Canis lupus familiaris: one gene and its partners. The protein of the gene in region 2 interacts with the protein of the main gene of each other region in a biochemical or structural test. Links are inferred from orthologs where the notes say so. Each region holds a gene or a part of one and is shown on either strand. Other genes may lie near its edges.

Region 1 (7,379 bases), on a different chromosome or scaffold from region 2:
CAGAACTACACTCCACTGGTAAGCTCTTCCTACATGGTATTACAGAAATCAAAGATTTCAGCTACCACCTATAATATAGCCTGCTGACCCTCAGAGCAAGACCTCTCTCTTCGACTCCAAACCCACACACCCAACTCTATAGCTGATGCTTCACCTGGATGTTTCATAGACAACTCCTCAACATATCCAAAAGCTGAAATACTGTTCCTCCCCCCAGTTGGCTCCCCTTCCTGAAGTCCCTGTGTCAGTACAGTTGACCCTTGAACAACAAGGGTTTGAGCTGTGTGGGTCTACTCAAATGTGTTTGGTTGTTTATATATATATATATATATATATGTGTGTATATATATATATATATGTATATATATATATACACACACACACACACACATATATACAGCATTATAAATGTATTTTTTCTTCCCTATGATTTCAGTAACATTTTCTTTATCTTTATTGTAAAAATATAGTATACAATACATAATATATAAAAATATGTGTTAATTGACCTTAAGTTATCAGTAGGGCTTCCAGTCAACAATAGGCTATTAGTAGTTAAGTTTTGGGGGAGTCAAAAGTAATATGCGGATTTTAGACTGCAAGGGGGAGGTCTGCAAGGGGAGGGCTGGTGTCCCTAACACTCACACTGTTCAAGGGTCAACTGCAGTTTACCACTGTCTATTCAATGATCCAAGTTAAAATCCAACTGTAACTGAATCCTCTGAATTCTACCTTCTAAACGTTTGTGCTATTAATCTACTGTTTCGCATCTCCACTGACTCTGCCTTGGTTTAACTGAGGACCTTACTTGCCACCTCAATTATTTTTTTTTTTGTCACCTCAATTAGTACAAAAACTCCTAACCAGTCTTTCTGCACCCTGCCGTATCTTCCCTCCATCCCTTCTGAAATCTGCACTCTACAATACCAGAATGATCTAAGATGAATATTTTATGACTCTTTCCTGATTAAAATCCATAAACTCTATTATCTATATTCTAGGGGAAAAAATTCTAGAATCCTTAGAATGTCATGCAATACTCAAGGATCTATCTGTGCAGCCTCCTCTTGTGCAACTCACCACCATAAATCCAATGCTATAGTTGCAGACAATGGCTTCCAGCTCTCCGAAGTGTTCCACGCTCTCTAATCACATTCAGCTTTCCTTCTGCCTTAAGTTCCTCATTTTCTGCCTCAGTCATGCCTAAACCTTCAAGTTTAAGGACATAAAGCATAAAGTACCTAATGTAACACTAGACACATAGGAGGGAGTTAAAATGGGCTGAGCTGGCTTAGGCCTCTGTTTTCCCTATCCTGTCTCAGTGACTTCTATTTGCTTGTAAGACAAAAGTTGAAATTACTTCAACCGTGTATAAGACCATCCATAATTTGGCCCCTGCCCACTAGCTATACCTGCAGATCCTACAACTCACTATGGAAGCGGAGACTCCCATGCTTCTGCTCACACTGTTCCTTCTACCTAAATGTCCTTTCTTACTGTTTGCATCCCCTCCTGTACACACTTTCTCCTTACCACTGCCACCTTCCTCCATCTCTCTCTTCCCTTAGGAAACTGATCACTATCTCCTTTGTACACCTCTATACCCCCATACTTTCTCTAAGTAATCTTAAAAACATATTGTACTTGCTAACAGTTCAAGTAAGAGATAAAGTCTTATCACCCAGAAAGCAGGGGCACAGCCTTATCCATCTGTAAGTCCTCCTCACCTGCCATAGTACCTGCTAACACAGTAATTCCTCTAAACGATCCGCGTTCTTCTTTATTCCTTCCACATATACTAAAGTTTCTATCAGGAATTTTCTTTCAAAAAAAAAAGAAAGAACAGGGCAGCCCGGGTGGCTCAGCAGTTTAGCGCCGCCTTCCGCCCAGGTTGTGATCCTGGGGACGGGGGATCGAGTCCCACGTCGGGCTCCCTGCATGGAGCCTGCTTCTCCCTCTGCCTGTGTCTCTGCCTCTCTCTCCCTCTCTGAGTTTCTCATGAATAAATGAATAAAATCTTAAAAGAAACAACAACAAAAAAAAAAAAGAACATACTTTTGAATACCTTCAAGCCCCATCTCCCCTTGCCAAGCAAACAGCTGTGCAAATATAAGGGTGCAAATTAAAGTTGGTATTGATTCTCTGATACTACTTCTAGTTTTCCAAATAAGATCTAAAATGAGAGATACTATTTTGAAAAAGAGCCAAGTATGTCACATTGCTTCGAGACACTTTGTTCAAAGAATTACTTCTCGGTTGTTAGTTACTATTAAACTAGTCCACCCACGTAAATCTATGGGTCACTCTGAAAAGTGGGAACCACTTTAACTTCCTTCCTACCTCTCCTACTGCCAGTACCGTTTACAGCAATTACTCATTTTCAGAAAGACACTCAGAAAGGAACTAGCAAATCACCAAGACAACCGGAAAGGCGTCAAGGGAGGTTACTTTTCTTATTCACAGTCCCATTTGCTTGCGTTAGCAGGGCTGCCTCCATGATCACCAACCCAAAAGTCAGCGTGCTCCTTACCACCACTTAAATACTTGATGAGTAACCGCCAAGAATGATGGAAGGCTACGGAAAGTGCTGCAGCAAGCGAGCATGCCCACTCCACTCCAAAGTATTCAGTGAGAGCTCTTCTGGTGAGGCTGGATGATGTGTGAACTCCCCGTCCAGACGACTGTGCCTCTCTTACAAGGCACACGCACACTACCTCGAGTTAACATTCTAACTACTTTCAAAGACTCAACCAGGCCTTAGAGGAAACAAGCTGCTTGGCCAAGAGGGAGGCCCTGAAGGAATGAACCCCAAAACTCAAAACAGCGTTTAATTACTTCAGGTTAAGACTGAGGTGTGGAGTATTTTGAAAAACCTGTTCCATTCCTACAACGATTTAAAAAAAAAAAAAAAAAAGTGTCCTCAATAAGAGCGTTTTGGCACAAGCATACTTGAAATTGAGTTGTAAAAGGAATTCTCAACTCCAGATCTGTCCGTCCATCCGCAGGGAAACCTGAACGCGAGAGCGCAGCACCCAAAGGAGCCCCGGTGCTTCGTGCCAGCGGAGGGAAACCCCGGGAGCCTTGTCCCGGTGCACCGGGCCGGTCCTGGGGCCGCTCAATATTCCGGGGGCGATGAGGAAAGAGTGATTATATAAAAGGCGGAGTCCCCCGTCCCGGCGCTGCCGAGGCCTGGGGACTCCGCGGGGAGCGGCCGGCTCCCGACTCCCCCCTCCGGACCCCGAGAGCACCGAATCCCAAATGCCGACGCCACGAGGGAGGCCCGGCCGGCAAGTGGGAGGAACGGCCGGCAGCCGGGCGACCCCCGGGGAGCAGCCTGCCGGGGAAGAGCCCGCACTCGGGCAGCCACGCCCCCCACCCCCACCGCCAGCCCCGCGCGCCGCCTGACAGACGCCGCGGCGGGGCGCGCAGGAGAGGCTCCCCCGGGGCGCGGGGCCCGCCACGACCCCTGCGCGCCGCCGCTGCCCGCCACCAACCTGCGCCTGCCGCCGCGCGACCGCCCGCCCCGCCGCCGCCGCCGCCGCCGCCGCCGCCTCGCGCTCACCGTGCCGCCGCAGCCACCGTAGGCGCCTCCTGCGCTGCGCCCCTAGCCGGCCTCGGGCGCCCCATTCCCACCCCGCCCCAGCCTCCGCCTGTTTACAATGATTGGGACAGAACGCGACGAGCCGGCCCACCGCGCAAGCGCACTCCCTCCTCCCGCCGCTGCCGGCTTCCTGGGTCCTCCTCTCTGCGCTGACGGCTAAAGCCGTCAAGGGCGAACGCCCTGTGCCCTCGCGCGCGGCACGCTGGGAGGCGTAGTTCTCGGACGCCCAGCGCCCAGTTTACAAGAGGGCCCTCCGTCGAGGAGCCACACTACAACACCCAGGAAGCACCGCGCCTACTTCGGCCCAGAGGCTCGCTGAGGAGACTGAGGGAGCGCGCGAGAGAATGCGCCGCGGAGGGCTCAGCGGGCGCGTGCGCAGTTCCCGGTCTTGGGGGACTGGGTGGGAGGCGGCACCTACCTACCACGAGCGGAGATCGCCGAGGACGGGTTGGCGGGCAGCGCCTCCGGTGGTCTGGAGAAAGGGAAGCGCTTTTCTCTGCACGCTCTGGCCGGCTGCTCCTCAGCTCCCGAAGTGCAGCCCTTCTGTGCCAGCAGGCTCCGGCCGTCCTAACCAGTTAGACCGGCCTCGGGGGCCGGCCCGGCCTGCCCCTGGGTGGGGCATCCTCCCGGCCTTGGGCTGGGTGGGGACTCCGGCCGTGGGCCTCCGAGGGGAAATCTGCGTGAAACTGTGTGTGCAGACCCCGCCGAGAATTCCTGAATTGGCAAGGGCCAGCCTTCGGTTCGAGCTGGGCTGCGGGACCGTCTTCCGCCGCCCTCTTTGGCTCGACGTTTGCAGGGAACACCTGAATTAGGACTGCCCAGCCGCGTGGTTAGGTTGCGAAGAGAAATAACTTGAGTTGCAGGGAAGGCTGAAAATGACTGAATTCCCCCCCGGGAAACCTAAGCAAGGCTTGAAGAATTATTCTGCTAATGCATGGCTGGAAGTCGGGTCCTTTGAGGTGTTCTTGTTTGATTAAGGTTGGCTCATTATTAGGGGAATGATTTGGGTTAAATGCTCTTCCCAATCATTTCCATTCCTACGTGCGATACTCTCGAGAGATTCATTGTATAATGTCGATTAACCTATGTAACCTGTCTTGCGCTATACCTCTCAGATAAGCTAACAGATCTGAGAACAAGTCTCCCTTGTATCCTGCGTTTTCTTTCTTTTTTTTTTTTTTTTTAATATTTATTTATTCATGAAAGACGCAGGTAGAGAGAGAGAGGCAGAGGGAGAAGCAGGCTCCACGCAGGGAGCCCGACGCGGGACTCGATCCTGGGTCTCCAGGGTCATGCCCTGGGCCAAAGGCGGCGCTAAACCGCTGAGCCACCCGGGCTGCCCATACCCTGCGTTTTCTACCCAGTGAAGTTCATCCCCCTAAGCCTGAAGGTGAAGAGTCTCCTGGAATTAGATACCGACGTGGTCTGTTTTCTGACAGTTTGAGGAGCTCTTTTTTGACCCTCTGGCGACAGAAGAGTGTCGGCTGACCGCTGAGATGGGCATGTTTACGATGCCAGTTACAAGTGCTCCTTGCTCCATTAATGGGGACGAGGGATAGGCACTGGCCTGAGTTGGACATTATTGAGCCCTTTGTGAAATCGCTATATGGACCTTGAAATGATAAATTGACAATTCACTTGTGGTTGGAGGCTTCAAATTTCTTTCTCAGCAATAAACAAGAGAAAAGAAAGGCGGATATAGAAGACCCTCATTACAGTATCAGCCAATACTGAAATATTTGACATATGCAGAAAACTCCCAACAGCAGAATATACATCCTTTTCAGACAAATGAAACATTGTCCAGTATACATCATAAGGCAAGTCACAGAACAAATCTCTATAAATTTTAAAGGACTGAAAACATACAAGTTATTTTCTCTTTCCACAATGGAATTAGCAAAAACAAATTTGAGAAACCCCCGCCCTACATAACTGGAAATTAATATTTTTAAGTAATCCATAGGACAAAGAAGAAATCACAAGGAAAATTAGAAAATACCTGGAACTGAATGGAAACAAAAATACAACATATCAAATTTAAGGGAAGCAGCCAAAACTGTGCTTAGAGGGAAATTAGTAGCATTAAGTGCTTAAAATTAGAAGAAAGACCGTAATCTAAGCTTCTATCTCAAGAAGGTAGCAAAAGAGAAGTGAATCAAACCTAAATTAAGTAGAAATCAGGAAACAGGATAAAAATAGGAATCAAAAAATCTGAAGCATAAGGAAATAGAGAAAAAGACCCAAAAGTCAGCTCTTTGAAGATATCAAATTGATAAACCTTTGGCTAGACTAAGAAAGAGACCTAAATTGCCAAAATGAGAAATGAAGAGAGAATACTATAGACCTTACAAAAATGAAAAGTATTCTAAGAGAATATTATGAGCATCATAATTCTGATAATTTTAAAAATAGTTGAAAATGGAGGCTTTCCTGGAGAGAACAAATTACTAAAACTAACTGAAGAGAAAAGGAAAAGATCCAAATAGACATATATCAGGGTAAAAAACTTGAATTAGTAAATATAAATCTTCCCACAGGGAAAAGGCCAGATCAAATGTCTTCACTGGTGAAATCTATCAAATATTTTAAGGGGAAAAAATAATACCAAATCTATCAATACCTTTTTAGAAAATAGATGAGTAAGGAACACTCCTCAATTCATTTTATGAGGACAATCACCCTTATAACAAAACCAACAACATCACAAGAAAATAGAATATCCTTCATGAATAGTACACTTTAAAAGGGTCAATTTTATGGTACAAGAATTATACTTCAATAATGCTTTTTTTAAAAATATGAGACTTGGATTAAATATTCTAAAGACTACACCACCCTTGGATGAACAGAGTAAAAAAATCCAGTGCTTGTTGCCTGTATCCTTGGGACTGGCACCTAAACAGTTCACTGGGTCATGGCACTGTTACATAGTTGAAATGTCCTATTTTTATATTGTTAAATAAATAGATTATAATTTAATATTTAATAAATAATGAATATTAAATAAAATGTTATAGTTTTATATATCATATAAAAGATACACTATTTAGAGCTCATGACAAAAATAGGCGTCCGAACTGTAAGAGTTCACATTTGCTCTTCACAACAATTCACCCCACAACTCAGTGGCTTTAAGCTATTCTACTGCTCTTGCAGTTATAGTTAGTTGGTGGATTAGGTGGGAGTTGGACTCATCTGGGGCAATTGGGATGGCTAAGCTTCTCTCTGCAATGGTCTCTCATCTTCTTAAGGTTACTTGTATTCTCAGCATGCAAACATGTCATTTACTAATGTCCCATTGGCCAAGCCAAGTCATATGCCATGCTCCAGATTCAAGGGATGGAGAAATAGACTCCACCTACACGGAAGCACTGGGAAGAATTTGTGTCCATTTATTTGCAATCTATGACAAGAATTCTCGAATCTCCTTGGCTCCTGCAGGAATGATTTTATAACCTCTAAGATCTGTAAGTTAGTGTGAATTGACACCTTTTAGTTGAAACAACCATAAATCATATGTGAGTAAAAACTACATTCTAGTATCTTCCCTCCAGTTCCCTCTAATCCTAAAGATTGTCTAGGAGTAAATAAACTACAAAGCTGATTCAAATGAAAAATTTACCTTACAAGCATCCATCCAATATAGTAAAATTATTTCCATTTCTATTATATTCTGCAGAGACAGTGCTTAATTTAATCATCTCGGGGGGGAGAAATGGTAAAATTTATGTCATAATTTTGAAGTATAACACTTGCTTTTTAAAGTTATTAGTGA
Region 2 (7,583 bases):
TATCGTGGATATTATAGACAATAACATGTATTTTGAGTTGCTTCTCCATCAATAGTGACAAATTGCTAATAACCAACTGCTTTCTTATCTGGCCAATACACCCAGAGGGTTTTGTTGTTGACAGTTGTTACTATATGTGTAGTTAATGTACCTTCATATTTTTATAAATTGGCATATGTGTATAAAAATATGCATATTACATAGCCATGAATGTTTAAATGTGTTTACATATGCATATACCTTTCAAAAAAGAAATAATGAAGCTATTAATCTTTTTTAAAAGATTATTTATTTGAGAGAGTGAGCAAGCAAGAGAGCACAACCGGGGGGGGGCGGGGTTGGGGGGAGAAGCCGACTCTCCACTGAGCAGGGAGCCCGATGTGGGGCTCTGTCCTGGGACCCCGGGATCATGACCTGAGCCCAAGGCAGACACTTAACCAACTGAGCCACCCAGATCCCTATAAATCTACTAATCTAATGGGCAAAGCTTCATCTACTGCAGGGTAGACATTGGACAAAACCTCATAGGCCTATACATTTTTTATTTTGTATTTCTGGTTAATCAATGATGAGAATGACAGATAATTCACAGGAATGCTTCCTGTTTCAGACAAACATGTAACTGCAGGTAAAACTTTTTATTCTATAGGGACATGAGTAATGCTTTCATAGAAAATTCCAGTTATATGACTACAGTAAACTAATGACTAATTCTAAAACAAGATTCTGACAAAAGCATACCTACCTGTATATGTCCAAAACACAGATTAGCTATAATAGCAGTGAACATAAGAATTAGTTACTAAAATCTTTTACTCTTTACTTATTCTATGTTTAATAGACAAGGTTTGATCATAAATAATGAAAATTAAACACAGGAATAAATCTAAGCCTATCTTTTTTGTTGTTGTTGTAAACTTAAGCCTATTTCAAAAACAGAATCCTTCATGTTCTTGAAGTTGCCCAGGCAGCAAATTTAGGAATGCTCATGAGTTCTACTGGATATTAGTGTTAATTATTAATAATATATAGTTACAATTATACCCTTTCATCCAAGTACCTCAAAGAGCTCTTAAAGCATTAATTTGTTATTTCTTATAATATCTCCGAGAGGCAGGCCAGTAGAGGGTTATTATTATCTCTATTTTACAAAGAAACTAGGGCATGGAGAGGTTAAGTGACCGTGCTAGGGTCATATGGTGAACAAAGAACATAAAGGGGCCTCGAGATCATTGTTCTCATTTCCAGTTCAGTATGGTATCCATTAGCTGGTTGTTAATACACCTACATGTATTTCCACTCTAAGAAAACTGAGAATAATATATTTGAATAATCTAAGAACTAAAGGCGAGAGTCCCTCGTGGTTTACATTCAAAAGTGCCAAATAAAAACCCATAGTCTTTGGTTTGCTGTTGCAGCTCTTATTTATAGGGGTTTTGTTATTTGCAGCTTTCCGAAGTCTTTGCTGAAAACGACCCATTCTATTTCTGCTTTCAGGTAGGTTAGCTTGGCTTTCAACAGCCAAGAAGCAGTTGAGACAGGCTGACTAATCAACTCGAGGTTGACCGTCATTGTGTTCCCATTGCTCACTTTTCTGGAAGTCGACCTCCTGGCTCTCCATTCGACAGGTATTTGTGCAACCTCCCGTCACAATCCTTTGTGGCTGCTTTAAATAAGCTGTTTATCGCCAATGATTAAACTTAAAAACTTTTTTTACGTTAACAATGGCATTCCATCTTAGGAGTTTGTGCTGCTACACTAGCTAACATGGCCATATTTGGGTTTTCTGTAAGCCTGACCTTTCTAGTCTTGACCAGGGAGACATTTGGGTGTTAGCATGTGTGGATGGACATGTACTACCAGACGGGGGATTTAAAAAGGTGATTATTTCAGCAATCTTCCCACAAGAAGGTAAGGAAAAGGAGTGGTTTTGAGACTGTTCAATGAGAGGAGACTGCAGTGGGCTTGGAGGTGGGGATGCGAGCCTGTGGTGTCCCTGACCTCAGCCCAGAATTTCCCCAGAGCTCTAGACACAGGCGGCAACTGCCAGACCGCACTCAATGGGCCAGGTCCAAAATGGCACTCCCTGACCCCATCCCCGCCATTCCCTATCTCATTTTGGTAGATCTTACCCTCACCCTCCTCTAAAAGCAAAATAAGGCATCATTATTGGTACTTCCAGGCATCATTATTGGTACTTCCAGGCATCATTATTGCTTCTTCCAGACATCATTATTGCTTCTTCCAGACATCATTATTGCTTCTTCCAGGCATCATTATTGCTTCTTCCAGGCATCATTATTGCTTCTTCCAGGCATCATTATTGCTACTTCCATTCGCTTACCGAGAATCTGCCCCCAGCAACCAACTGCAATTGGACGCTCACCGCTACCCACACAATGGCCCCATCCTTTCCCTAGACTTCTGCGCCGGCCCCTCGTGCACAGGCCCTGTGGCCCCACTCCTCCCCTAAAGCTGTCCAGGGTCACTCCTCTCCTCCTTGCCTCACCGAGGAGTGAAGACATTTGGTCCCTGCGTCTCCATCACCTTTGTCCCCAGCAACCCAGGCTTGACCTTTTTAAGTCCTGGAATCACTGCCCACGCTCCGACGCGCGATTCGCCGCGTGCCGCATGTCCTCTTTGTGGGGACGTGGATGCGCCCGCCCCGTCCCCGGTGCTGGTGCTGGGGGGGAGGGGCGGGGGGCCCTGACCTTGAAAGACCCGAGGCACCCGCGGGTCGTCCGCTCCGCCCTCCGCAGACCGAGGCCCCGCACTTCCGAAGCCCGCCAGCCGGGCGGCCACCCGCCAAACCACCTCCAACCCCCGCCGCCGAGAGCAAGATGGCGGCCTCCGCGTCCCCTCCTTCCCCGCGAACCCCGCCCGGGCCCCACAAGAGAGACGAGGACGCCGAGATGCGGGCACCTCCGCGAGGCCTGCGGCGACCCCCACCTCGCCGGGCGCGGGGGGCCTGGGTAGGGCCGCCCGCGGGGCAGCGCAGCGGGGCGACGCCGGCCAGTCCGCGCCCCGCCGGCCATTGTTCTCCAGCCCCGGCCCCCGGCCCCCTCCTCTCGGCCCACGGACCGGAAGTAGTTCCCCAGCCGGCCCCGCCCCGCTCCCCGGCGCCCCGGAAGTGATCTGCGGCGGCTGCTGCAGAGCGGCCAGGAGGAGGGTGGATCTCCGGAGAGCGGAGCGCCCCGAGTCCTCCTCCTCCTGCTGCTGCTGCTGCTCCCGCTCCTGCCGCCCAGGCTCCGCCGCCGCCCGTCGGACTCGTCCTCCTGCCGCCCGCGGCGGGGAGCCTCCCAGACGACAGGGGCCGAGCTCTGTCCGCCCGAAGCCCGCGGGGCGGCGGACCGGCTTGCGGTGCAGGTGAGCGATGCCCGCCCGGGCCGCCGCGGGAGGGGTCGGGGCCGCGGGGCGGCGGCGGCGGCGGCGGCGGGGGTGTGTCCGGGCGGCGGCGGCCCGAGGCCCAGGCTCAGGGCCGGGACGCCGAGATTGCACGTCCCGCGTTCCGCCCGGGAGCGAGCTGCGGGACGAGCCCGGGCTGGGAGCGGGGGCCGGGCGAGCGCACCGCCGGGGGCCGGGGGCCGGGGGCCGGGGGCCGCGAGCCGGGGGCCGGGAGCCGGGAGCCCAGGGCCGCGAGCCGGGAGCCGGGGGCCGCGAGCCGCGGCGTGGTCCTCCCAGCCCGGCCTCTCCGCGAGCCGGCCTCGTCGGAAGGTCACCCTGCATCTCTGGCCGCCGCGCCGAGGTCCCCGCCTGGGCGGTGCCCGCGACCCGGGGGGACCCGCCGGCCCCCGCCGCAGTCCCCGCGCTTCACTCCGCCCCTCTCCCCTCCTTCCCTTTCCTCCACTCCGCGCCTGTACTAGAGCAGTTGCTTCTGAGGCATCTCCGCCAGGGTTTTGTGCCAGTTAAAGCAATGGCTTTTTCAGACTGAAGTCCTTAGGTGCTCCGCCTTGAACTGCACAGGTCTGTCTGCCCCTATTAGCATCACCTAGCCTGTAAAGCGAGGGAGAGAATATAGGTTTTTTTTGGGGGGTTTTGTTTTGTTTTGTTTGAGTGAGGGGGTAATTCCTCTTGGAGATTTGTTCCTGAAGGAGTGGAAGATGTGATTTGTGGTTTGCTTTTAGCCTGGGTGTCTGTGTGTAAGTGGGCAGGGATGACAGCACAGAGAGGTGGCAGTGTTGTTTCAAGGTTTAGGGAGAATTAGGGAGTTAACTGGCTTCTGCTGGGAAACCTGAATGTCCAGGCTTGTGCGAGCTTATCCAGGTGTCTTCGGGGTTGTGTGAGATCTCCAGTGCCACGCCCGACGTGTCAAGCTGAAAAGCACCCAATTTGCAGATTGTGGTCGCTGTGTGTGTGTGTGTGTGTGTGTGTGTGTGTCGAGGGGTGGGTGGGTGGGGGGAGTAGGGAGGCCTTTGTAAAACATGTGCCCTAAGTTAATTTTTGTCCTGAAAGTACATTACAACTTTGGTCATCACGTTCCCTTAACTCATATAACAAAATTTGTTAATAAACTCGCAGTGGACGGCCTGTTTTTTGTTTGTTTCCAGCTCCTTTATTAATATATTTAAATGTATATCTTACTCGTTTCTGTGTCTGTGAATACAGTATTATTGTAAAATGATTCTTGTGACTCTTCAGACATTATTTTTAGGCTTTGAATTTTTTCAGGGCAGGAACCGTGTCTTATGCATCCCTGTTGCTCGCAAGTGATTACTGGAACATAGGAGCTCTCCCGTATTTCTTCACTGAATGAATGAATGTGGAGATGATGCCACAGCTGCCTCAGGAGTCATTTATTTCTTGGGTTTTCTGTTGTGTTCCAGTTTCTTGGCGCAAAGACTATGCTTTGTCTTAAATGTTTTTTTGGCGTAGTGAAAGGACAATTCAAGAAGAATCCTTTGTTGTCCTTCCAAAACTATCCTCCCCTGGAAGGTTAAAATTTATATTTAGGGTGTTGTGATTGGGCAGTGTATTCCAGTCTTCAATAATTGCCAATTAAGCAAGTTTATCCAGGGTTATTATTATTATTTTTTTAATATTTTATTTATTTATTTATTCATGAGAGACACAGAGCGAGGCAGAGACAGAGGGAGAAGCCGGCTCTGTGCAGGGAGCCCAACACGGGACTCAATCCTGGGTCTCCAGGATCACGCCCTGGGCTGAAGGCGGCGCTAAACCACTGAGCCACCTGGGCTGCCCATATCCCGGGTTATTAAAGAGATTTCCTAGTGATAGCTTATGTTTGGAGGTTGATAACCGTAACTTATCTTAACCAAAAAGAGGAAATTGGGAGTCACCACTGTTTGGAAAACCGTTGATACATCCCAGAATTGCTTATAGTGGCTTATTTCTCCCCTGGGTATGTGAAATCCTCTCACATCCTGATAGGACCTTGGCATGATTTACCAGTAGCCACTTTCACATTTCTTTGCAGAGATCCAGATGTTCCCTAATGTGTCTGCTGAATATGCAGTTATCTGTATCACTTATTTTAAAGTAGTTTCGTACAATCCTTTCTTTGCAGGGCTTTCAAGGGAAAAAAAGGGCTAATTATAGGGAAGAATCTTGTTTACCATTTGTGTGGGGGAATAATTTTTGTCTGTAGAAGGTTAGGTTATTTTCAATTTAGAGATCCACCCCCCCACCCCACCCCCCCCAAAAAAAAAGTGCTGATACCTTCTTTCCTTTCCGAATGTCTGGTTGTGGTCCTGTACTGGTTTTCCGAGCTTAGCTTCTGCGGGATATGAATGAATGTACCAGAATCACTTCTTGTATATATGTGTGTATCAGTGTTACCCACACTTGTAATCCTTAGTAGATGGGTGGCAAGGACAATCACTTTTGATACAGTATATATTTTTAGTGGAGAAAAACATTATGATATAGGGAGACAGTTTATGGTTTTTCTTGTTTTATAAAGTGTTTTAACTCTTAGACATAGTGGGAAGTCTGCAGTTTCTTATATCAGCAACATCACCACTGTACAGAGGTCAGATTTCTCTTTTTTAATTCAGCAACCGTCTTGGTAATAACAATCCGTATACACTGATTGCCTGCCACACACTGTGATAAGAGCTTTAGTTCTATTATTTTTAATCTCCACAGGACCTCTGTAAGATAGGTAGTTTTTCCATACTTCACTAAGGCTAAGTGAAGTGATTGGCTAGAGGCTGGAAGCTAGTATTAGGAGAGTCTGGATTTGAAAGTAATGATTTCTGAGAGCATTGCATATTGCACTTAATCCTAAAAGGCTCAGGAAAAACAAGTTTCTGATTGAGCTGAGCCTCAGGAACATCGATCTAATGATCTCAGCACTCTTGACCATCAGGTGGGCCCTGGGGTTACCCTCTTTATCTCCAGCTTGCCTACAGATACCATCCACTATGTGTGCCATGATGAAAAAGTGGTTGGGTATGATTCAGATAGGTGTCCTGGAGGAGTAGAGTATTAGGAACTCAGCAGTTGGTGTTGATTACTGCTTTTTACCTCTGAAATACGTGAATGCTCCCTACTTGAGGGGACTTTGGAAAACCTATTTTGTAGTGACCTTTTCTGAAATCTTGTTTTTAGTTCTTTCACTAAATGACATGGCGGGGGTGGGGGGGGTTGTGGGGGTAATTGTGAAGAGTGGTAAGAGAGGTAGAGGTATCCTGGGTTGTTTTTACCATTTCAAACCATATGTCATTTTCTCTTTGGGTTTAATATAGAGGCTTAAAGGCGACAGAGCTCTTGTAAAGGTCTAATTTCTGTTCAGTGCTGGAATTCTCTTTACTCTTTCCAAGCCTGTGCAGTTTTTTTGAAATATGCACTTTTAATGGGCTTAATTTGAAGAATGTGTTCATCTCTTGGTTAAAAAAAAGAGGGGGGAAGAAAAGGTATGTAGCTCTAAGTAAAAAATGGCTCATTCTCCAGCCCCCATTAGTTACACTTATTCTTTGTTTTATTTCTTTAGCTCTAAGACACCTCTCTTACTACCTTATTACACTTAAAAGGATTTGGTTACAATATAGAAAAAATGAAATTAAAGTTCTATGAGTTTTAAGAGTCATGTGAGTAAATTTTAGAAGATAATTTGAATCTTTGATGTGATTATACCTGAAGGTATAATTCCTCAACATCAATAGGGTAGTCTGTGCAAGCCCAAAACAGCAAGCTTACATAAAAATATTAGGATACTATTCTTAAAGGCCTTCAGTTAGAATTCTCTATTAGATTTAACACCCCTGGGATCCCTGGGTGGCGCAGCGGTTTGGCGCCTGCCTTTGGCCCAGGGCGTGATCCTGGAGACCCGGGATCGAATCCCACATCGGGCTCCCGGTGCATGGAGCCTGCTTCTCCCTCTGCCTGTGTCTCTGCGCCTCTCTCTCTCTCTGTGACTATCATAAATAAATAAAAATTAAAAAAAAAAAAAGATTTAACACCCCTAATGCTTGACACACATAATCTTTTTGAAGTCTGGGTTCCAGTTGGGTTGCTGAATTCACTTATTGAAACTAAATATCAAGGTTTGACAATGTCATGTTGGAGGATAAAACATAGCAAGATTATGAAACGATTTCTACTCCCAAAGGCATCACGAAGGG
Region 3 (7,356 bases), on a different chromosome or scaffold from region 2:
CAAGCCTGCAATTCCGCTCCTGAGCGCTGCCCGCACGTGGTCCGCACGTGGTCGGGGCGACGGCAGCGACGGCAGCGTGTCCTGGCTCGGCTCCGGGCCGGCTCTGTGGTGTGCCTTGGGGGGGGGGGATGTAGCTGGAGAGAGGTTGGAGAGAACGCGGGGGGGGGGGGGGGGGGGGGGGAAGGAGGGAGGGGAGGAGGGAGGGGGGAGGGGGGCCTGAATGGCGCCCTGCAGGCCCTGGGGATGGAGGCCGCCTCCAGCGAGGTCCCTGGGGGCCCGAGCGGCCTGAGGCTCTAGGCCCAGCCCGTGCCCACCTGTACGGCCGCCCGCATCTGGGCGGAAGAGCCCCCCCCCCCCCCCCCCCCCCCCGGGCTCCAGGTTGCCCCGGGGCAGAAGCAGTGCGTGTTCCAGAGAGCAGCCCTCGGAGACCCGGAGACCCGAGGGCACCGCGAGGGCGGCGGGCAGCTCCTACGGCCTCCACTGTGTCCGGCTGCAACGTGCATGTCTGGGCCACCCCGATGCCTCGCGGATGCCACGTGCCATGCCACAGCCGCCTCCCTGCGGCCGGAGGGAGGCCTCCCCTGTCGCCGACCCGGGCTTCCCACCCCTCCCCCTGGCAGGCACGGCCTCTGCCTGCGGTGCTCGCCTCCTGAGCCCCCCCCACCATGGGCCGCAGCTCCTGACCCCTGCAACACGGGGCTCACTCACCCCTGGCTGCCCGCCCCCCCTGTAGGCCGCAGCTCCTGACCCCTGCACCGGGGGACTCACCTGGGTCCCACCCCCCCAGGCCGCAGCTCCTGACCTCTGTACCATGGGGCTCACCCCGGGCCACCCCCTCACCCCACATAGGCCCTAGCTCCTGACCCCTGCACTGCAGGGCTCACCCCTGGCTGGGCCTCCTTACAGGCCATGGTTGCCACGCAGCCGCTTACTGTTGTCCTGGGAAAGGTGCCGTGAGTACCCTGAGTTCCAGAAAAAATTACTCCCTGTCTGGATTTTGTCCTGATGATGAGGGTCAGTTTTTGTTGCCTAAATGAGGAGAGACCTTTCAGTTTAATAGAACCTTCTATTCCCCTGGCAGGGAGGGTACAGCCAAGGCCCCAGCCTGGAGACGACGCTATTATGGGAAATTCTGCTATTATCTGGTGAGGAGCCAGACAGTGATGCTGGCCAGGGCTCTGCGGGCAGGGGACACAACCCCAACCCCAGGATGTGTACCTGGGCCTGAGAAGTGAGCTTGTCCGGAGATGGCACAGGCCTCTGCAGCCGGCAGTGCACGCACCGCCTAGATGGGCCGCCCCAGGGGATCCCTGGGTGGCTCAGCGGTTTGGCGCCTGCCTTTGGCCCAGGGTGCGATCCGGGAGCCCGGGATCGAGTCCCACGTCAGGCTCCCGGCATGGAGCCTGCTTCTCCCTCCTCCTGTGTCTCTGCCTCCCTCTCTCTCTCTATGTCTATCATAAATAAATAAATAAATCTTTAAAAAAAAAAAGAAATTATAGATGGGCCACCCCAAAGGGCCGCGGGTAGCTCCAGGCCCACCTGCTGCTACACCTCCCACAGGCCTGCAGTACAAACACTGAACAGGGTGGTCAGGTCATTAAGGGCCCTTCTGCCCTGGATGCTCCCTGGGGGCCATTCACGTGACACACAGAAATTGGCCAAAGATGCATTTTGTGTGAGGCACGGTCGGAGTTCTTAGAGCCACAGATGGCAACCCCTTCACCACCCTTGTGCCTCTGCCGCGCAGCTACCCTCCTTTCCGTTTAGCTGTAACTGGTTATTCCAACAGGTCTCAGACTTTTGGGAATGTCTAGACCAAAAGCAGACAGCGTAAAGTCATGTGGTCCCAGTGGCAGGCCACCTCCTCCAAGAACCTCGCCCTGTGCTCAGCTCCACTCGTGTGCCTCTGGCTGCTTAGGGCCCTTGGGGGAATCCCTTCTGAGCCTGGAAGAGGCGTCTGACCTCAGTGGTTTGGGGCTCTCCTTATAGTGTGCAGTGGCTTTCGTGTGCCTACGTATTGCCCAAACAGGGACATTTTGGACAGTGAAAGGGGCTCTCTTGTTAGGCCAGGATAACAGACAAAAAACAGAGTTCTCTCAAGCAGAGTGGGACATGGGATCAGTTAACTTGACATCTTCTGCAGTCTGAGCGGCCAGTTCCAGGACAACCAGAACAACCCCTCTAAATACCCTGTCACGGGGGCTGAAACTCCACCGTCCTACATAACGACGTTTCTTTGTAGAGACTTCCAGCTCCTTCGCTCTCTGCGGCTTCTGCCTTGTAAAGCCGAGCCCTCAGTTACGACTGATTTCCTACTAGTTCTCTGTCCTGGCAGAGTGGCCCTAACAAACCCAAGCGCGCACTTGACCGCATACATTGCAAACTTAGGGCTGCACGTCCCAGGACGGCTTTCAGCCCTGCCTGGAAATCTTACATTTTCTTAGTCGTGTGCTTCACAGCATCAAGGACAAGAGGTCTCATCCTTTCTCTTCACACCTCCCGTGCCTCCCATCCTCTGTCTCTACCAACGATCTTTACGCATCTTGTGCTAAGAAAGCAGAAGGAATCAGAAGAGCGCTCTCAGTTTTCCGCTTTCCCTCCATTTCCAGCACTGCCTCTTCGGGGCAGGCCGCAGACATTTCTGGCCTAGGCTGCTGCAGGCCCCCCTAAGCGGCAGTGTCCTTCCTGTCGCCCCGCCGGGTTCAGCCTCAGCCCGAGATCCTGCAAAGGCGCGCCCCTGGCTAATGCCCTGCACCGCCACGGCCCATGGAGGTGCTCCCCGCCTTTGACGTCACCAGTCACCAGCTCTTGGGACCCTCCAGATGGGAGCCTGGCTGTCTCCGCCACGACCTCCGACGGCCCGTGACCTCGGTGCGGCCCCTGGCCTCCCAGCGCCCGGGTGGCAGCTGCAGCCACCTGCCGGCGCCGAGCCCGCCAGAAACGGACGAGAGTCATGCTGGGCCCTGCTTGCGTGACCCCGGGGCTACCCTGGGCCCTCGGGCGGCGTCCTCCACGCCCGGCTCCGCTCTAGCTGCACCGCACAACCCTCCGCCCAGCCAGCCCGCCCGCCCGCCCCGCAGCCCCGCCCCGGCCCCGCCCCAGCCCCGCCCCGGCCCCGCCCCAGCCCCGCCCCGGCCCCGCCCCCGCAGCTCCGCAGGCCCCGGCCCCGCCCCCAGGAAGCCGGCCCCGCCCCTCGCGGGGAGGCTGCGCCATCGAGGACTCGGTGCTCGACTACCGGGCGGATCGACGGCGTCGGCGCTCCCGGCGGGCGGAAGTGAGGGCGCGGGCGGGGGGCGGCCCCGGGTCGGTCCGCGAGGAGCGCCGGCGCGTTGCGGTGGGGGCGTCGGGGCGGCCGCGGCGCCAGGTACGTGCTGCCTAAGGGCCCCCGCGGCTGGGGTGAGGGCGGGGGCGGGGGCGGGGGCGGGGCGGGGCGGCTCCCGGAGGGCGGGGGTGGTGCGCGCCGCGGGGCCCGCCTCCTGCGCTGCTGCGGGGCCCGGACCCTGAGCCCGAGGGCGCGGCGCCCTGTGTCCCCCCTGGGCCCGGGCAGCTGCTGGAGGAGGGGGGCCCGACCCGCCAACGGCCGGGCACCCGCTGGACCCCGGAGCCACCCCCACCCGCCCCGGGCACCTGCTGGAGGCCCACAGCCCTACCCCCCACCCCCGACCTGCCCCAGGCACCTGCTGGAGGCCCGGAGCCCCACCCGGGCACCTGCTGGACCCCGGAGCCCCTCCCCCACCCGCCCCGGGCACCTGCTGGACCCCGGAGCCCCTCCCCCACCCGCCCCGGGCACCTGCTGGACCCCGGAGCCCCTCCCCCACCCGGGCACCTGCTGGACCCCGGAGCCCCTCCCCCACCCGGGCACCTGCTGGACCCCGGAGCCCCTCCCCCCACCCGGGCACCTGCTGGACCCCGGAGCCCTTCCCCCACCCGCCCCGGGCACCTGCTGGACCCCGGAGCCCCTCCCCGCCCCCGGGCACCTGCTGGACCCCGGAGGCCCCCCCCCACCCGGGCACCTGCTGGACCCCGGAGCCCCTCCGCCACCCGCCCCGGGCACCTGCCGGCCTGGAGCCCTGACCCACTGCCCCTCGAGTACCGGTGGTCGCCGTCCCCATCCCCTCGTGCCGCGCAGTCGTTACCGTGCCAGGTGGGAGAATTTATTGGCGGAGAGCGGGTGTGAAGCCGGGTTGCTTAGTTGCTCAGATGGCATCGCGTACAGGTGCACCGAGCCTCGTCTGGGCGCCTTTGTTCGCTGCTCTAAGCGTTCACGTTTACTGCCTGATTTAATCCTCTCAAGAGGTAGCTGCTCTCATGTCCCCACTTTACAGATGGGGAAGCGGAGCCCGCAAGGTGACGAAGCTGGTGTGTAGTTCCGCAGCCTCCTGACTTCCTTTGAGACCATCCCCGAGTCTCCAGGCCTGCACAGCCAAGCACGGGGTCATCTCTTAGGGAAGCCTGTGACGCTTTACTCGGTATCCTAGGATTTTGTGAATAGCTGTCCAAGAAACAGTTCTTGAAAAGCTTGTCTTTAAACGGAAATACACTATTCTTAATTGGTAATTAAGAATTATAATTATGAGAATTATAATTATATGGATCTCAATTGTGAGAAAGTTTCTTCTTTTTTTAATAATTCTGAGTAAATTTATAAGGAGAATTTTTTTTTTTAAGATGTTAAAGAAAACATCTTTAACAGATGAGAGAGAGAGGCAGAGACCCAGGCAGAGGGAGAAGCAGGCTCCATTCAGGGAGCCCGATGCAGGACTCGATCCCGGGTCTCCAGGATCAGGCCCTGGACCGAAGGCAGGTGCTAAACTGCTGAGCCCCCCGGGCTGCCCTATAAGGAGAACTTTTAAAAATACTTAAGAATGAGCCACAGCTCAGTTAAATCCTTGGGATGCGCTATGTTGAAAAACTAGTTCTACCTGAGGTTGTGTGGCTCAGTCTTCTAATATATAATAATATTTTATTTATAAAAGCATATTTTGGCCAGGCTTTGTGTCACTGCCTCTACTAACAAAGAAACTAGAAGCCAAAAGTTTCCTGAGGATCATCTGTGGGTTAAAAGTTGTTAACTCAAGGGGTCGTAATAGAGGATGATGTGTGCTTGCTACTCAGATGTTCTCTTCTGTTTACACAGCAGAGAAGCAGAGGATCCCCCAGCGTAATTTGGAATGACTCTTGGAGGTTTCAGAAATTTCTTTTTTTTTTTTTCATATCAAACATTTGATTGTACTGAATATAATTTTGGACTATTACTTTTGAAAAGATGATTATTAACCTGCTTAGCTAAATTTTCATTCATCCCTTTAATATTTGCGAGCCTGTTATGTATGAATCTTAATGGGAAATGAAATTGGCGTTCAAAAAATTTTGCAGAGGCATTCTTCTAATAAAGGACTTTGGATGATTTCTAGTGTCCTGGCAGGATAAGGCCAGTTTTATAGTTAGTCTTTTAAGTACTTTTCCCACCCATTTTTCGATTTATTCATCTTTACGTAGCCAGGATCCTAGTGCAGCACCTACCGCACTGCAGGAGCATAAACGTTTTACTGAGTGGAGGAGTTTTAGGCCAGTGTCGAGTAGAGAGGATTTTGAAATCGACGGGCATGGGAACGAACGTTGATCAGTCTGCTAAGCAGAAGGCTAGGATGGTGAGGAGCGTGTCCACGGATCTCCTGGAGCGCCTGGTGAAACTGCACGGTAGTCGTGTGGTTATTATCACATGGTTCAGTGTATGTTTATGTTAATTTAAAATAATTATTCTCGATACAAACACACAAACTTAAAGTAATTGCAGGGAAATATGACTCCCAAAGCTCTGTGACACCCATAGTCCTCCTTGGCCCTCAGTGTGAAAGTTACGGCATCAAAGCCACCATTGACTGGTCTGTGAGCTACCACCCACCTGCTACGCAGCTCGGGCTCCGCCTCTGGTCCTCAGTGTCCTCTTTCCTGTAACCACGTTATCTGTACGAGCTCTTCCCTGGTTTGAACGCTTCTAGCTCAGTGATTCCTGCAGCCAGCTAGCACTGTTATATCCATGTGTTGTCCTAGGGGCTATAGCTGTTATTGGTATTTACATAATCTGTCAAAAGGCTAAGTAAGTTCTGGCTGGACGGGGGTTAGCCTTGGTCATTTTTCGTCTCCCAGTTTTACATATGCCTGGCACATTAGAAATAAAATATTAGGCTAGATTCAGAGGGGCAGTTTTGTGCTCTCGATTGAACAATAGCTAAGAACTTGACTATATATCAAGTGTCCGTACAGCAGGAATTCAGATGGGGGAAGTTTCTGTTGGAGTTGGGACAGAGGTCAGTCCTTGATGGGAGGATCTGGCCCTTCGTGGGGAGGGCACAGGAATATCTGGGTGGTACACCAAAAACAAAGGCCCACAGGCTGGTAAGTAAGTGCGTTTTGGATTATGGAGTGCCTTGGGGGTAGGGCAGAGGAGTTCGGAACTGATTTTTTATGCATTTCACCCCCCAGGAGAACTGTATTAGACTTGCTCAAAAGCTTCATGAGCATTCTTTAACTTGATTCTGTCGGGAACGTTTAAGATGACCAGCTGGATGTGGTGCATCCCAGTCTTGATTTCTGGTTTTGATTTTAATCATTCCTTCTACTTACGTTTCCTTTTTAAGTCTGGGAGCCAGTCGTGGAAAAAACAGTGGACACTGGGGTTTAGGAAACGTGGAATGTGGTTAATTAGAGGGGAAGCTGCATAAGGTGGATCCAAGCAGGCCCCTAGTGGTGCCTGGCACCAAGCGGGCATTCAGTAGTCCTTGTGCAACGACCAGCGGGTTCTCCCATTGCTACTTGCTGGCTGTGCTGCCGTTGGCAAGGTTGGCTCATAGTTTCATCCGTGAGGTTTGATGAAATTTTTGAGGCCTTTCCCACTTGATATTGGCGGGTGTATGATTTTTAACTTCCATTCTTTTATAATTTTACTGAAAGACAAGACAAGACTAAAAGTCAGGAATATTTGGTTTTAGTTTAATTTTAATGAAATCCCCATGTGATTGACATGATGTGTATCTGGATAAATGAGAGTCTCAGCAGGAATCAGAATTCATGCCAGATGGTTCACATAAGGAGGTTTTAATAAAGGGACTACTTGGCGGAGGTGTGGGCGAGGTTAGGTGACAAATAAGGGGTAGTGAGGCCCAGAGAGAAACCGACCAGTGGGAGGAGCAAGAGGACAAACTGCAGCCTGCTGGGAGCTGGGGCTGCAGCGAGGGGTGTGGCTGCTGCCAGAGGCTTCCGGGGTGGGGTGGGGTGGGGGGCAGGACTGTGGCGCCCCCACCCCAAAAGAGTCCACTGCCGACTCTCTCTCTCCTTCCTAGCAGATTTCTTAGA
Region 4 (6,577 bases), on a different chromosome or scaffold from region 2:
TGCCAATTCTTTGTGGGGGATTTTTTGTGTGTGTCAGTGGTATGTACTCCAGCGGCAATACTTTGAAGTTTTAGAATGGTTTAGGAGAATATCAGTACCTTTGGCCCAGATTATTTTGTGGGAAGAAATCCAAGTAGATATACATTAGGAGGACATGATGTTCTGTTTCCTGGAGTCAAGCAGATTTAGGGTGACATTCACTTACATGCATTTATTAAGAGTAAAGTAAAGGACTATAGCTGCTTAGGGGTAGGAAAGAGTAAGTGAGCCTGAATTTTGGTTGGATTGCCATCCTAGTCTCTGACTTTGCAACTTCCAAATATCGGCATGACCAATTTTCATGTATCTTACGTTTGATTACTGTTTTAAAGTTAAAAATAGTAGAAAGGAGAAAGAAAATGGCCTACAAGAACATAAGTCATAAAACATCTGGTTCCTTTAATGAATGCTTCCAATCTTAAGTCAGTCAGGACTGTCTGACATATTAATTAAATGCCAGTGAGAATCATTATCATTTTATGGTACCTGTCCACTCCCCTAAAAATACTGTGAATTCACTGACTTTTCATCTGCAACTTTCTGAGAGATGCTGATGAATTCCTTTTCTCATGAATTTCTAGATTCAAGAATTTCTCAAGGTCCATCCATTTTAAACCTCCAAAGTGCCAGTAGTAATTGGCCTCAGAGGATCTTCCAGGGAAATAAAAATGTATTCATAAGCACACTTAAAGTCCTTTAGCATTTGCTCATTTTATCCAAGAGAGAGATGAGAAGACGTGAAGGATCCTCTTTGCCCCCTGCTACATAGGGTGACAGACATCAGAAAATGCTCAAGCGCCATATCAGATCAGGGATGTTAAAAAGACGATTACCTCTGTCAAAAAATAATCATATTTTGTCAGTCGCTTAGAAGAGTAAGGTAAACTGAAAATTTGTTGTAGGGGCCTAATTTTTTCAGAAACTCTTTTCTTGTCCTCTAAAATGGATTACATAATCAGGAGGTGCTCTGCTTGGGGACAGAGGCCAAGGGAATAAGGAGCGAGGAGATACAGGAGGAAGTGCAGGTTCCTCCGATGGGTAGGCAGGTCTGGTCTGGCTGTGGCCTGACATCTGCAGAAAGGCTGCTTTGCCTGCTGCTCTCAGCTGGGAGACTGTTCATTCATGAGCTATTACAATTTCCCAAGTTAGTACATAAGAGATGAACGGCTCATGGTTTTGACTACCTACAGATGAGATTTCCTTCCAAGGGTGCTGTTAACACAAAACCAGTAACCTCTCCAAGCCTCTGCGTGATGCATTAGAGTTGAGAGTTAAGAACATCCCAAAGAAGGGCGCATCCCCACGTGGACACTTGATACGGAGCAAATGCCTGCTCCTGACCGGCGATGTTGAGTATCCTCTAACAACAAAGCTTGGACAATCTGAGTAGTTTGAACAGCTATTCTACTTTCTACCATTCATTTTGTACAATCACAGAATTTTTCTTTCTTGAAAACAAAAATTGTTCCAGAGATTACCAGAATATTGGGTACAGCATTGAGGGGCATTTCAGGAGATTACAATCGATTAAAAATGTCGACCAGATTCCTAATAGCTTTTCAAGGCTTTGAATCATTTGCATTTTAAAGTTGATATCAGATATTGCAACGTTAAAGATAAATTGTTCTAACTTCTATTATCAGATGGTAGTGGGGTTAAAATGATGGGTAATCAGGCCACGCAGTATGCCTCGTGTCCATACCCCATGTGACTTTTGCAGAACGCTGCCCTGTGTAAGCTGCTATTGCAAATAGGTAACTATTGCACAGAATCTTCCATAGAATCCACCCAGGTAAAGCTGGCAGCCTCTCATCTTTGCAGAAGAACATCTTGCCTTTGAAAAAAATGCAGCAGAAAGGAAACTTACCACAGAAACCACAGGAAGATTTCTTGCCTGAGACTCTGTAAGTTTGTCATTCCGTTAGCTCTCCCCTCCACCTCATTTATTCACCCACCAGTTACTGAGTACCTCCAATGTACCAGGTACTGTTCCAGGCTCTGAAAATACACTGTGAACAAGACATAGCAAAGTCCCTGCCCCATGGAGCTTACATTCAAGCAGGGGGGACACAGATGAGCACTCAAATCCATGATATCACAGTGTTCAAAAGAGCCTAGAGATATCCTGCCTGAGATCTGTTTCCTGCCTCTCCTCACTCATGGACAATGACAAAGTCAAGGGAGAGGCCACTAATGGGCCACAGCAATTTCACTAGTCCTACCTCCACCATCTCTCAGTTGGATGAACTCAAGTGAGACCTTCAACCAATCTGGGCCTCGGTTTCCTCATCTATAAAATGGGGAGAGGTTATATTAAGTGATTTGTTTTTTCTTCTAAAGGGAAGGGGACCTTTTGGGCTTTTATTTTTCATGGTATTAGGAGAGCATTTTGAACAAAATCAAAAGCCAGTGTGTTGACTGTTTTAGTTTTAAAAATATTTAAAAGTAAACTATAAGAAATCCTTAGGTATTCCACATCCACTCAACACTTTAAATGCCAATTTAAACTTCATCAGTAGCAAATGTCTTATTTACAGCTGCCATACAATGAAGTCTTTTCACCATCTTCAGCTGAAAAAGTATTTATTCATAAAGCACAGTCCTACCTCATTTGTGAAAGGTTCTCTCGCTGCAAAGTCCTCTCCTGAGTGTGACACTCTCTCCTACTCACCCAGATTATTGACTTTGTGCTCCTGTTTAATGTTTCCCAAGCTCTATGAAAACAAGGATTGGGTCCTTGCTTTTTTGAGGAATGACCCCAATGAGATTCGTACCCGGTAATACACACATGTCATCAGTGCACCTACATCATGTTTCATGGGCACGGGCCTTCTGGGAACCCACCTCAGCTCTTCAGGCTGTCAGAATATTTCTGCTCAGTAAAATTAGAGCTATGGTGTACCAAAGGGTACACTACTATTCAAAAAGGAAAAAAAAATGGGTTTCTAGAACAATTCATAGACTAGGACGATGTGAATTAATGAAGATCCTAACTTCTTTGGAAGCCTGGTGGAATGTTAATGCATATTTAATAATGCCAGTTAAGTAGCACATACTTTGCAATCAATTAATTTTTCTTAAAGAAGGTAACATAGCTGGAGAGCTGAATGTCAAAGTTAGGTTCCTACTTATTAAGTTGGTAGGAGTTATGAAGCCTCTGGTTCTCTTGAAAGACAACTTGCATTCAGTGGCTTGATTTTCCAATGTTGAAATTCAAATTTCAATCAATCCAGAAGCTAAGGATGATAGGAAATTTTATACAACTACAAGGAATCTTCTTTTGTCTGGGTCAGATCTCCATGGCTGCCTTGGAGGCTTCTGAAGCCTGTATGCTCGGTCTCTGAGTTTTAGCAGTTGGCGTGAAATGAAATATCCAACACGTGTTTTCAAATTTGATCGGGTGGGCCTTATCAAAAGAACATAGTTTGTCATTGCCTTTGGAGGCAACGTGAAATCTCTGCCTCAATAACCAAATTTAATTCCTTCCTGTTGCTCTGTGGTGTGAAGATCTATAGTGTCGATGTTATCAGACGCGCCTGTCATGGGCTGCTGTGTACAGAATGTCTGCCCCCATCCTTTCGGTCCCTGCAAAGGGAACATCCTTGGTTGGGTGAACACTACTACTTCAGGACCAGATGGGCAGGGGCATCCCATGTCACCTGGAAGAACCCGGAAGCAGCATCACGACGCCTTCTAGTAATACACAGCGTCTCAAACAGTGTCTGCATGTACTATGAAGTGAGGGCAGGTCCAGCAGTCATCGGCTGCATAAATGAGGGTCAGAGAAGAATAAGGAGGTTTTGACAATTTTTGGCAACCTAGATCACAGGTACAGATAAATTCTTGTTAGCAAAGGAAAGGCACTTCGGTGTCCATCGTGGAATCTGAGCATGTGTTTAAGTTGTTGAGCGTGTGCTACCAATCAGGATACGGTCCCTTTTTCACAAGGATAAACAGGAGGAATTATAAAGCCCACCTGATGTTCAGTGTCCTTATCTCAGTAGGACTGCAGCCCTGCCCGGCCAACCCAAAGGGTCCACAGGGTGGAAACAAGCGTGCCTCAGGCAGGGCTGGCTGTGGCTGTGAGGATCTCCATAAAGTCACTGTGTGCAGTGTACTTTTCAAGGAGGAAGTCCTTGAGCTGCAAACGAATACAACCCTTAGGTCCAAACCTCTGTGGGCACCATGGCTTCTTTGGTCCCAACGGAAGGCAGTAGGCTTTCTTCAGACAAGAAGTAAAAGGGGAATTGCACTAAGAAGCCACGAATCTTTTTCAGTTCTTCCTCAGCTCTAATGGGATCTTCCCTTGCTAATATGGGCTTGGTTATAAAGTCTCTCAATTGAATTAAATTGTGTACTTCATCATTGGGAAGGCACCGGAACACCTGATTAAGACACAAATAGGAAGAAACTAGGTCATAAGTTTAAAAGAAAAGATAGCCCCTTTATGGAAAATATTCATTCCAACTGATGAAATCTTTGCTTTATGAAACACGTAGTAGTTGTATGCTACAGCACACACCTGACTGAAGAGTTGCTTCTCTTATTTGCTACAAAGAGACTACTAGATTTGCTTTCATCCAAAAAAAAAAAAAATCATAGGTTGATCCCTCTATCTGATTTACACAAGTCATCGATGTCGTGATAAAGTCAAGCTAGTGGTACAGGAATTCCACTGATGTTACTTCACATTAAGGTTAAGTTTTTTGATAATAATTCTCCAAATTTCACTGGACGTTCTGGTTTAAGAGGAAAACTGCATATTATGTTTTTTATTTTCAAAAATGTCCATATCTGTACCTTAAAGTTATCAATTGTACACTTAATTTGCCAATTGCAAATGAGCTTCACATACCAGAATACTTCCCTCCTAGAAATTTCAGCATGTATTGAGAATAAGGATGTGCCTATACAACCCCAATATTATTCTCACACCTCAGAAAACCAATTCCAAGTCATTTAAGATATGGTCCATATTCAGATTTATCCTATTAATCCCAAAATGTTTTTTTTTTATAGCTGCTATCCTCTCCTCCCATGAGGATCCAAACAAGGGCTGTGCACTGCATTTTTAAAATTACATTTTAAAGGACTCCATGCACATGACCTATTTGATCATGGCCTTGAGTCCTCAGCATGAAGTAAAGCTATGGAGACTGTCATGTTTCATTAGGAATGATGAATTCTCTGTGCTGGAAGGGACGCTGGCAGTCATGAAGAAGAACAACACACTCTTATCTAGTTTCTGATAGATGGTCAGCAGATCTCAGCTTGAATAGTTTCTATGAGAGAAAGCTGACTACTTCATGAAGTAACTCATTCCACTGTTGGACAACTCTTAACTCTTCTACATTCTTTGTCATAAGCCATGGAGAGAACTTAGCAAAAGATACATTTAGCCTCCCTAACATATGGAGCTTGTTTTAAAACACCCTTCCAAAAGTAGAGCTGCCCAACAAAGGAAGTGTTTCATTATTAATAAATTCCATCACAGGAATGGATACCATTTATTATGCACTATGTGCTAAATACATTTAAAAAACTATTCTTTATTTTCATAACCACCCTCATGAATATCTTGCCCACTTTATAGGATAAGAAAGGAAGGCTCAGAAAGTCAAATCACTACACACAAATTTGTATCACCAGCAGCTGGGTGAGCTGGGTTGAACCCAGGTCTGACTCATTTTGGGATTCCATCTGCCTTTTTTCTCTTTGTCACTAGACATGTCCAAAGGCTGGGTAACCACCTTCTAAGGATGCTCATGATGGGATCCCACAGTCAGATGAGAGATCAGAATGCCACTAATGGCTCTTCTACACCATAATCCATGATACTTTTTGACTCTGTTTTTTAATATCTACAAAGCGGTATTTTATTACAACTTGGAAATGTACTGGATTTTTACACCCATTAACATTACTCTGCACCAATAATATACAGTAATAATGACGTGTTTTTGTGGTGTGATTCAATGAAAAAGGTAGGGAGAGAGATGAAAACCTCACCTTATCATATATTGTAGCATTTCGAGCTGCCGTTGCAACCCACACCTCCTTGAAGAATTTGTCACTCACTGGATCCTGAATGTTTTCACTTGGGTCAGAAAGATAGCCAAGGACAACCCTGCAATACAAGTACCTTCCAAAATGAGTAACTGAGATAAAGAAATTTGCTGCAAGCATTGTTTCTAATGGTAATGTAATTCAGGCACTCAACCATAGCAGTCCTTTTTCTTTTTTTTTTATTCTAAGGAAAATCCAAGGAAACCATTAAAACTGTGTGTGCGTGCGTGTATAAAATCTTGATTGCATAACCAAACCAAACCAAACTAAGAAAACCCAAGCTGTTCTGATGCTTGAAAGTTTTAACTATTGGATAGATAGATCTGAATTTAGTTCTAAGAGACTCCTTGGAATTTGGCCTAAGGGAGTGAGAAGTTTGAAGATAGGGTTAGCATTCAAACCATAGGCCAAGGGGTGCCTGGGTGGCTCAGCTGGTTGGGAATCTGATTTTTTATTTTGGTTCATGTTTTTT

The links.
Region 1: the proteins of RALA (region 2) and RALBP1 form a complex in vitro, tested with the Homo sapiens proteins (3 studies listed by BioGRID). The link is inferred for Canis lupus familiaris from reciprocal best matches to the Homo sapiens genes RALA and RALBP1.
Region 3: the proteins of RALA (region 2) and EXOC2 are reported together in a solved structure, tested with the Homo sapiens proteins (2 studies listed by BioGRID, with this or other methods). The link is inferred for Canis lupus familiaris from reciprocal best matches to the Homo sapiens genes RALA and EXOC2.
Region 4: the proteins of RALA (region 2) and PLD1 form a complex in vitro, tested with the Homo sapiens proteins (2 studies listed by BioGRID). The link is inferred for Canis lupus familiaris from reciprocal best matches to the Homo sapiens genes RALA and PLD1.

The regions. Positions count from the first base shown.
Region 1 is NC_049228.1:75,538,655-75,546,033, reverse strand, and holds the start of RALBP1 (ralA-binding protein 1), read right to left. Parts: upstream 4,158-7,379; 5' UTR 4,020-4,157; intron 3,707-4,019; exon of another isoform or gene 3,563-3,706; intron 3,530-3,562; exon of another isoform or gene 3,495-3,529; intron 1-3,494. UniProt on the Homo sapiens protein: Multifunctional protein that functions as a downstream effector of RALA and RALB. As a GTPase-activating protein/GAP can inactivate CDC42 and RAC1 by stimulating their GTPase activity.
Region 2 is NC_049239.1:10,201,525-10,209,107, reverse strand, and holds the start of RALA (ras-related protein Ral-A), read left to right. Parts: upstream 1-3,137; 5' UTR 3,138-3,366; intron 3,367-7,583. UniProt on the Homo sapiens protein: Multifunctional GTPase involved in a variety of cellular processes including gene expression, cell migration, cell proliferation, oncogenic transformation and membrane trafficking.
Region 3 is NC_049256.1:2,369,777-2,377,132, reverse strand, and holds the start of EXOC2 (exocyst complex component 2), read left to right. Parts: upstream 1-3,268; 5' UTR 3,269-3,364; intron 3,365-4,024; exon of another isoform or gene 4,025-4,144; intron 4,145-4,272; exon of another isoform or gene 4,273-4,296; intron 4,297-7,356. UniProt on the Homo sapiens protein: Component of the exocyst complex involved in the docking of exocytic vesicles with fusion sites on the plasma membrane.
Region 4 is NC_049255.1:36,166,661-36,173,237, forward strand, and holds part of PLD1 (phospholipase D1), read right to left. Parts: intron 6,167-6,577; coding exon 6,049-6,166; intron 4,425-6,048; coding exon 4,200-4,424; 3' UTR 1-4,199. UniProt on the Homo sapiens protein: Function as phospholipase selective for phosphatidylcholine. Implicated as a critical step in numerous cellular pathways, including signal transduction, membrane trafficking, and the regulation of mitosis.